Caenorhabditis elegans: one gene and its partner. The protein of the gene in region 1 interacts with the protein of each later gene in a pairwise test. Each region holds a gene or a part of one and is shown on either strand. Other genes may lie near its edges.

Evidence for each region. The genes of interacting proteins can lie anywhere in the genome.
Region 2: the proteins of kdin-1 (region 1) and smz-1 interact in a two-hybrid assay, tested with the Caenorhabditis elegans proteins (one large-scale study listed by BioGRID).

What each region holds. Positions count from the first base shown.
Region 1 is NC_003282.8:11,036,978-11,042,651, reverse strand, and holds the start of kdin-1 (KAP NTPase domain-containing protein), read right to left. Parts: upstream 3,767-5,674; coding exon 3,653-3,766; intron 3,629-3,652; exon of another isoform or gene 3,479-3,628; intron 3,369-3,478; coding exon 3,303-3,368; intron 3,258-3,302; coding exon 3,156-3,257; intron 3,025-3,155; coding exon 2,851-3,024; intron 2,803-2,850; coding exon 2,695-2,802; intron 2,538-2,694; coding exon 2,421-2,537; intron 2,374-2,420; coding exon 2,177-2,373; intron 2,130-2,176; coding exon 2,030-2,129; intron 1,983-2,029; coding exon 1,884-1,982; intron 1,454-1,883; coding exon 1,288-1,453; intron 1,237-1,287; coding exon 1,057-1,236; intron 1,009-1,056; coding exon 870-1,008; intron 814-869; coding exon 612-813; intron 557-611; coding exon 450-556; intron 365-449; coding exon 219-364; intron 117-218; coding exon 30-116; intron 1-29. Other genes in the region: fkb-1 (peptidylprolyl isomerase), read right to left, coding at 5,551-5,674.
Region 2 is NC_003282.8:12,452,467-12,457,069, reverse strand, and holds smz-1 (PDZ domain-containing protein), read right to left. Parts: upstream 2,021-4,603; 5' UTR 1,879-2,020; coding exon 1,750-1,878; intron 1,703-1,749; coding exon 1,439-1,702; intron 1,385-1,438; coding exon 953-1,384; 3' UTR 771-952; downstream 1-770. Other genes in the region: C25G4.7 (uncharacterized protein), read right to left, coding at 1-50, 98-110; Transcription regulator spe-44, read left to right, coding at 2,989-3,144, 3,202-3,370, 3,432-3,528, 3,589-3,797, 4,095-4,307, 4,355-4,603.

The DNA.
Region 1 (5,674 bases):
ATATAACAACAACAACATTGACTGAAAACCTTGTTGGTGCGCATTTGGTTGCTGTAAACTACGATAAGTAGTACGTGAAAATGGAGAAGTGAATCCGAAACCAGTGTCAATGTATTCTGAACATCTAGAGTTATAGGACCTAATGTTCCACTAAAGGATAATGGAAAATAGTAAATATTATCTGAAATTTGGGAGAACTATATTTCTATAAAACTTACGGTATGGTGGTTTCATGCAACAGAAAAGTCGAACTGGAAGCACTCCAAAATGAGTTTCAGCTGCCTCGAACAATGTCGCCACGATTTTAGCAAGAGCTTGCTCGCCTCCAATAGAAGAAAGACGGTGGTAGTCGGCAAAGAGAAAACTGAAAATTTCCAAAATGTGTCTTTTGGTTTGAAACGTAATATTTTCAAGATAAAATTTTTTAATGCAAATCTACAAAATCATACCTAACAGGCATACTTGCACTATCTTCACTGTTCATCGGTGCATGAAGTGTTAAAATGTTGTAAACCAATCGGATCCGACTGAACACCCGTGCAAAAAAATTGGCTATCTGAAATGTGTGAAAAAATGAAAGTTTTGTTTTCAGATAATATAAAAAATCTTACATCCATTGAAGTATACCAGTTCTTGCGATCCCCATAATAAACCACAACAATCAGTGAACAGAATATGATGAAAATGAGAAGAAAGACGGACCATGAGATGAGATATGCTGTGACTGAGTTAGAAATGGCAATGAGCATTGTAAAAGTTAGTGAGAACATTCCAAAAAAGAGGAATATGGCAAAGAATAAGGCAAACGAAACTCTGAAATATTCAACTTTTAAAAAATAAAATTTCCTATATAAAATGTTTAAACATACGAAAGCGAAACTCCATCAAGCCAATCCCTTGAGAAACTGTGCATTGCCTCTTTCAATTTTGCGAGAAGTGCTGATTTTCCGGATCCCCATTTGGCGTAAAGTCCAATTGTAAGTGGAAGAGAAAGAGAAGGTTCACACACTGAAAATAGTAAATTCAATGAATTCATTGAAAATATCGGGAATTTACCAATATCAGCTAAAACATTAGAATATACATCATATCCCATAGCTGTATCCATTTTATCTTCCGCATCAATTGGTCCAAAAATTAGTGGCAGAATAGGTTGAGGATTTGATAAGTCAATGGAATACGGTGTCTGACCAAGCTTATTGGGTCGGTACAGTAACCGAGAATCTGATGGATTGGCTGTAAAAATCTCAATTTTTTAAAATATCTACAAAACAAATTAATACTCACACAAAAGTGCCTGTGTTAATCGTCGACTACGTGCTCTCAGTGCCAAATGAAGTGCATTATCTCCACAATTATCAACTGCAGCGAGTTTAGCTCCGAAACTCATCAAGTAGGTACACAGATGTACATGACGACATTTAGCAGCACGAAGAAGTGGAGTTTCACCGTCCTAGAAAATAGAAATAGAGAATTTTTTCAATTTTTCTGAATATCAAAAAAATCATACATTTCAGATTTTCAATTCTTTGATTTTTCGGGGGAAATTTTCAAATTTTCAATATATTCTTTGATTAGGTAAACTTTTTTAATTTTTTTAAAATTGAAATAAACATATGTTCATAGTCAGTATATTTAATCAATAGTTTCCAGGAGATTTTTCCGATAATTTTAATTTAATTTCCTTTTTTTTTTGAAAAATCGAAATTGAATTTTTTTTGTTTTTCAATATTCTGAAAAAAAAAGATTATTTCGAAAAAAAAAAGCTTTAAATTTCGGTTTTTACAATTTTGATGGAATTTTGAATTTTCTTAACATTTTGTCAAACTTTTTCTTTAAAAAAACATTAAAAAATCGAAAAATTATATCTCCTTGTTCCTCACCTTATTTTTCAGTTCCAAATTCGGTTTTTTCTCCAATAAAATGTAGGCGATATCATTGAATGATTTATCGATGGCCAGATGAAGTGGTGTCCGTTTTTCCTGAACTTTTTTATTTATTTTATCAATGCTTAAATTCTAAATCCTACAGAGTCTTGACAATTGATATCAGCAAATTTGTCGAGAATCATTCTAACAATTGCCGCATTTCCACTTCGAACTGCTGACGTAAGAATCCAGTTTCCAAATCTGCAAATTTCATTTATGTTGAAGTCAAAAACTAATTAGAAAAATACCTATCACACTGATTCACAAAAGCACCCGAATTAATAAGAGATTCACATATATCAGCATATCCATCACGAGCTGCCATTCCGAGAGCTGTCAAACCATTTTGATCAGCTACATTAACATTTGGTTCTCGTGTCAGAAGAAGCTCAACTACTTGAATAAAGTTTCCACGTGTTGCCAACATTAAAGCTGTGGATGAGTACTGTAATTGAAATTAGTTTCAGGATTCAAAATAACTAAAAAAATTACCATTCCAACTGCATCCACCTCAGCTCCAGAATTTAAAAGTAGTTGTACAACAGGAAGATGTCCTTTTCGAGCTGCCCAAATTAATGCAGTACTTCCGAATTTGTCACAGGCATTTACCTAAAAATATAAATAAAAATAAATTGGAATTATATTGAAAATTTGATACAAAAATTTTTGGAATAAATTCTTATAGCAAAAACATTGAAAACGAGAAGCTCTGACTATTTAGAAATTTTTTTATACGAATACTTCCTTTTTTCAAATAAAATCCAACCTGACAATCTGAATCAATTAATCGCTCTACAATTTGTGAAAATCCACGTCCAGAAGCTACAATTAACGGTGTGAGTCCGTCTTCTTCGTCAATAAGATTTACATGAGCCGGTAACAAAAATCGTTGTTTTTCTAATTAAATATATATATAACTTACTTTTGCGTTAACAAGTAGATCAACCACATCTAAATGATTTTTATAAACTGCCCACATAAGAGGACTCCATCCCATTAAATCAGGTTGATCAACAGATGCTCCATTATCAATTAATAATCGAACAATGTCAACATGACCACAGTGAGCTGCATTCAGAAGAGCACTCCAACCTTCCTGAAATAATTTTCAGTTGAAAAAAGAATTCAGCTTTTGAATAAGGATTTTTTTTAAACTCAACTCGAAAAAAAATCAAATGGCTCATTAATTTTTTGGAGTATTCAAATATTTTATTTCAGAAATCTTACATTGTCAGTTTCATCAATTGCGTCTGGATCCAATTGTGCTAATTGTTTGGCAACTGCTGTGTTTCCTGATCGAACGGCAACTGTGAGAAGTGATTCTCCATTCTGAAATTTGTTTTTGAAATAATTTATTCGATTTCGAGCACTTACAGCGTTTCTGAGAGCTGATATTTCTGCGGTGAGTGCACATCTGAGTTCTGTGGTGCCATGCTCAACCTGGAATCATTTCAAAGTTAAAAAAAAATGAATAAAATTTATGTTTTCAGTGTTTTTCTTTGAACAAAGATCTTCAAAGGATATTTTCTTTGTTTTATTTCTAGGAAGATGTGATTACTTTTCTTTATTCTTAAATTTCGAAATAAAACAGCATTCTGTCAATTTTGGTTTTTGAAAATTGATTTTTTTGACGATTAAAGTATTTCTAATCGTATTAAATTCAGATTAGCATATTGAGATTCAAAATGTTTCCTTAAAATTTATTAATAATTATAAAATATAACCTGTTCGAAGAGCTCAGCAATTTGTGTACTATTCATAGTCACCGGAAGAGCACTGGCGACGGCAAAAGCACTGCTTGCCGCTTCTTGCCACGGTCTTCTCAGTGTTTGAACCATGGCTCCTCGCTGCTTCTTCTCGTCTTCTTTCCCCTAACGTCCTGGGTCTCCACAACGCGTCACAATATTTCTTGGATTTCTCTATTTTCTCTTGCTTTCAGTGGTCCTTCGTCATATACAAACTTTCCAGACGCTTGTTTAGTATAAATACTAATTTCGATCAGCAGTTTTTCTTCGCAAATCGATGAAGAATTGTTGTGTTTTTCTTTTTATTTGTTTGAAAGCTGAAAAATATTACTGTATGGGGTTGAAAACGAATAATAGACAGCATGTATTGAAAAACCGACGAATTTCTGTAGATAATGGTAAAATTTGATACAAAATTATTGGGAATTACTCTATTTAAGAGCAAAAACTGATTAAAATACATTAAAATTCTACAATAAACAGTTTCAAAGCATTCGTAGAAAAATCGAAAAGAGAAAACAAAAAGTCCCTACAGTAACTTTAAAGGCGCATCTAGAATACTTTGTAATGGTCTCGACGCGACTTTCATTGTTGTATTTGCAAATCTGAAAAAAGAAAATAATATTATTTAATTGGCAGCGCCTTTAATCTGCGGTATTTCTTTGGAAACTTTAATTTTTTACAAATTAAAAAGAAAAATTCCGACAAATATTTGAGAAACTTCGTTTTATGAGTGGTTTTTATTATATAGCTTCGGTAATTATTTTTGCTTGTTTCAAACCGATTTCCGAAAATGGTCGCAATTGCAGTTACCAATAATTTAATATTTTATGATTTATTCTTAATCCTCAAAAATCGAATAGAAATCAATATTCGGAAAACAGAAAAAAAAATGCAGAAAATGACACATCTGTCAGTGGTGGTCGCAGTAGCAGACACCGAAAAATGATGGGATGGGAGCCTGTCAATAGAAACACAAAAAAAACGAAAAGCGTAGGCAAACAGAAAAAGCGTTAGATTATCATAGATCTCAAAAAAATAGAGAATTCAAAAAACCAAGTTCAAAATTCTAGAGAAAATATCGAGTCCTATCAAATTTCCATCACGCTCCGTTGGTTTCAAGAAGACGGATTATGCAAATATTACTCCCGAAACCACGTTGAATTTTCAGTGCGAAATGTCAGTTTTATTATTCATACTTTTATACATCAAAACTGAAGAAGAAAGCAGTGAGAGAAAGGAAATACAAGGCTCACAAATACTCTCACAGGAGGCTCTCAAGGAATACTCAATTTACTCGTGTGTTGAGAGAAGACAACGAAGAGCAAGAATCGACCTCAATTTATAACTATTGTTAGGATGGAGCATGAACAAAAAAAAAGAGAAAAGAAGCATTCGGATCGTTGGTGCAATAATTCATGGATGCCAGTTTTAATTGGGTTTCTACTAATAGAATTCCAATTTTTTGTTTATTGTTCGACATTTTCAAAAATGCATTTCCTTTTTCGATTCGTGCTTTTTATTTACAGAGGAACCACATACTTGAATTCTAATATTTACGAAACTGTTGATTCCAGATTTTCAGATTAAAATAATCATTCTTAAAAACTAAGAAAGCAAGGCATTACTAGGTAAGAAGAGAAAAAGGTGTATGGAAATTGATAAATGTCTCGCACACCCTATCATTTTCGCTGACAGAGTGCAATACAAGGTGATAAAGAGAAGCGAGACGCGGTTGTGATCAATGGCCGCAGACGGTCCAAATATATAGAATGGGCATGTTTATAAAGACAAAAAAAAAAACTGCAAAAAAAAATTATACTCTGAGAACATGAATAAGTTACAAAAGGCACGTTTTCTAAATATCCGTAGTTCGTTTACAATTCTTCTCCGTCTCTGTCAATCTTCATGAGCTCAACGTCGAACTTGAGGACAGAGTTGCCTGGAATCTTTGGTGGGGCTCCACGTTCTCCGTATCCAAGGTGTGGTGGAATTGTGAGA
Region 2 (4,603 bases), 1.4 Mb from region 1:
TTGAAAAGAGTGAATAAATGTGATTGTATCAAGGGATTCTTGAACACTTTCTGAAAAAAAGTTTCAAAAATTTCATTAAAAAGCGTTCAAAACTAACCAGGTTTGCTCATGATTTGAGGCACGAAAGTTGGAAGAAATATTGTAAATAGCTAGGAATAATCGAGAAAATCACGATAAGCACTAGAATGTTTTTTGAAAACGTGAGATCATCACGTTTTTTTATTCAAAAGTTGAATGAAAGTTTGTTAATAAGATAATTTAGATTAGTTGCAATGGCATGTTACCTGCCAGTAGGTGAATCTTTGCACGATGCACCATGTATTTATCTGTCAAGACACAGACACCAAATTTGGCGCAGAAATGCAGAAACTAGGCATAGGAAGGCCTTTAACATTGCTGATTTTATTATGGGTTCAAGAAGTTAATATAAATTGTTTTTTCAACAAAAAAATGTCAAAAAAAAACAATTTATTACCATTTATTTTGCAATCAAAAGCTTCTCAAAATGAAAGCGTTGAAGGTGGAGCAAAGCAAGTTGTTTGCGAGAGGCTCAGTGTTGTGGGTACTTCCTATGCCATCAAAAGTTATGGCTTTTCAACTCTTGTTAAGGCTACGGTAAGCCAGAACTAGACTTTCTTCTGGGCCACTAAAACATGGTCAGGGCTTTTGGTAAACGAGGAACACGTGGAGTAAACGAGCTGATATTAATAGAGACTTGCTGTAACCACATTCTGCCTTTTTCAGAAATTCAAACAACTTTCAAACAAAAATCGTCTGCAATACGGTAGTATTTTGACCACTCCTGCCTAAAAGGAGCCATTTTGTGGGCGTTTCACATACCCAAAAAACTATCTGTATTCGAACATATAAAACAAAATAAATCAGCAGAAGCGATTCAAACAAAATTTTTATTCGAGCTAGACGTTGCGATTTCTGGCATCTTGCTGGCACATCACTTGACCTTGCGAAGAGCTTTTCCCTCATGATCATGCCCGATTTCATGTGTTTGAGTTTGCTCGACAATTGAAACGCGACGAGCGCTTGGACCAGTAGACATAGCACTCTTTGCTGGAGGCTTCAATCCTGGAAGAGCTTGACGGTATTGAGACGCAATGCCCTTCACATCCTCGTTCATTTGCACAGATGGTGGCTGCATAAGATTGGTTGCCAATGCCTGCTTTGCCCATTGCTTGGCATCAATCGAATCGGGACGCTCGACGACGAAAGTGACTTTTCCCTTTTCTTGAATGTTCTTGACGAGAAGGTCTCTGGCAACATCCTTGTCACTGACTGGAATACCATCAACATCACACAAGTGATCTCCAAGAACGAGACACTTTTCGGCGAGTGATCCAGGATCAACACGGGAGACAAGCACACGATTCTGAAATAGATATATGAATTTCCTAGAATTTATTTGATTTGATTGATTTCTTACCTGGAAATGCTTGATTCCCAAACCAAGTTTTGGTCCATTTTGAACCCAAACAAGAGTTGCCAACTCATAGACGTATCCTTCACGGCGTTGAATGATCTTTGCACGATCTTCAGGAATATGAACACGAGCCTCCAACTCTTCGGCCTTCTTCTCATCGCGGTTCACCATAATTTTTGCACATGGAGCTGCAAAGCGAAGTGCACGGAAAAAGTCATTGCAATCTTTGCAGTTTTGCCCGTTGACTTTTTTGACTTGGTCACCAATCTATAAAACTTTTCATAGAATAATGGTTAAACTTTTGTAGAACTTACTCTCAACTTTCCTTCGGAAATAGTTCCAGCCTGGATTTTAGTGATGACAAGCTTGTCATTCGGAGTTGCACCAAGTGGTTCTCCTTCTTCCATATCGATACAGATCTCGATCATCTTCTCGGAACCCATGCTTCTGCTCCTTTGCTTCTTGGCTGCTTTGGCGATTCAAAAGACGATTGATTCAAGATTTCGGACGAAATATGAACAAAACTGACGAAATCTGGACCTTTTATGCTGAATTAATTAGGCCATAAAAAACAAGGCCCAAAGGTCATGTCACGTAATCACTTTTTCGTCTAAAAAACTCTATTTTAAAGTAAAAATATTATTTTTTGTTTCTAACAAAAAAAAATATAAAAAAATATTTTCAACTATCTGAACTTTCAAATAAAAAAAATCCGTCCCTACGAGTCTCTCATAAAAACATTGACCTCTACAAAATTTGAAATCATTAAATGTAAAAGGCAAAATCAACCTTGGAGCAATTTTACGAGCATTAAAAAATGTTTTCAACGAATTTTTTTGCTTAATTTTTCATTGTATTCTTAAACTTAAGGTGATCTGTGTGTTTTTTTTTAATGACTAATACTATCAAATGAAAGATCATAGTTAGTAACAAAATTCTCATTATTTTTTAAAAAGATCGGTAAAAACCTTTGAATTGCAATCCTAAAATTCTTGACTTTTTTATTTTTTATTTTCTTCATTTTTTCCTATCTTGTGATGTTACAATTACTGTAAAACTTTCTGATTTCAGAAGGTTCAAGGGAGGACCAATATCGTAAAATGGTGTCGCCACGCGCCGCGCGATTTCGTATGTGCGCCTTTAAGGTTACTGTAGAAAATTCTGTTCTGCAATTATTTTCACACTTTTGCTTTTTTATGAACTTTTTCACTATTTTTCGCGTTTAAAGTGTTCAACTTGTGATTTTTAATTTAAATAACTGTTGTTTAGTGTGAAAATTGTGTTTTTGTTGTAAAAAATTAAAGAAAACTCTCTGAAAAGTTGGATTCTTCCCGTTTTGAAACCATTTCTCTTGAATAAATATTCTTAAAACAAAAAATTCATTATTTATCTGCCAACGAAAATAATAAGAAATTTCAGCTTATCGGAAGTGGTACCAAAAAGATGAAAAAAAGAATGACGCGGAAATCTTTACGTGTTAACGTGAAACGTGGCGAACTTTGCAACGGCCCGCCCGACTCACGGTTTTATTCGGATTGCAAAGCAACGTCAAAATGTTCGGTGGAGACGTGAGCGCTGCTTCCGTGTTGCCGTCTCATCCGATTTCTGGATCATGTGATGGATTTCAAGCCGAAGGATCTGATCATCATCATTCCACGATGACTCCATTCCAAGAGAGTCAAAGGAATGTTTATCAAATTTTGTATGGAGTGAGTTTCAGCTACTTTTTCATAATTACATCGCTTTAATAATTCATATTTTTACAGCATCCGGCAAACGACGATTTTCCGCGCCCTATAACACCACTGCAGATCACAATTCCCGAAGGAGATGCGTCACCGACTGTGCCAGTTTCCTGTGGTGTCGTGAATGGAAAGATGCATCTCAACCTGTTCATGTGCCCTGGGATTCATCAGCCGTGTATTGAAGTGGGAAGTTCGTTATTTTATTTATTTCAGATAATTTAAAATGGGTCTCATAATATAATTATTTTCAGACGATCTTCTTTCTCCGAAGCAGTTCACAATCCGTGGCGACAAAGAGCGTCAGAAAGATTGGAAGGCGAGCATCCGTGTTGGAAGATCTTCGTTGAGGTGAGCATCAAGACAATAATCCCTTAAAATACTTCTGTTTCTCAAAACTTTATATTCTAGAACTCACATGGAAGCAATGACCATCGACTTCTACGAGCATATGAATCGATGCAGTGGAAAGTGTCAAAGCAGAAATTATGTGAATGCTCCATCTGAAGAGGTGCTTCAAGCTCGGAAGTCCAAGAGAACATCTGAAGCCGGACAACTTAAATATGAGATCGAAAATGAGATGGCTGGAAAAGAGGCGGATAATGATGATAATAGAAAGAGTACGACCGATAATTCTACAAAAGGATCTAGTTTTGACATGTTCTCTCAATATTTTTCATTAAAATTTAGGAATAATATTTGTTATGTCTAAAAATAACTTATATTTTAGTTGGAACAATCGGAAAAGTGCTCAAATATTGTCTCAAAGTTTGAGATTTGTGAGCATCTTTTCAACTATTCCAACTTAAATATAAGTTTTTTCAGATAAAGGAAACATTATTCTATATTGCTAGAACATTCTAAAACTAGCTCCTTTTGTATAACTACCAGTATTCTGGAAACATATCATTTTTCAGGCGCCAAAAAAGCTCGTGGACGTCCACGTGGAAGTGTCAACAAGCCCAGACAAATGGTCAAAATGGAGCCACAAGACGATCGTTTCTTCGAGGAGTTCTTCATTGATGCGCCACCACTGCAATCAATGTCATCTAATGAAGAGCCAACTTCTTCAAATAAGGAATCCAATGAGTGCACGCCATTCAATGATATTCTCAATTGTCTGCAGAACGGTAAGCTATTTGACATAACATTTATCACTAATTTATTTTTATTTCAGATCCTATGAATTTCTGGTCTCAAATGCAACAAACCGGTGTTATCGGTCATTTCTGCGACGACATCATTGTCAGTGCAATCAATCTGAAACAATCCGTTATGGATAATCCTGTCACTCCCACCACTGCCAACATGCTCACTCGTACTGCATTCGCTCTCGGAATTCCACCTGTCGTTGTTCATCGTGTTCAATCGATTGAACGAAACGCTTACCAACAGCGGAAACATGACGAAATGTTTAACGATATTC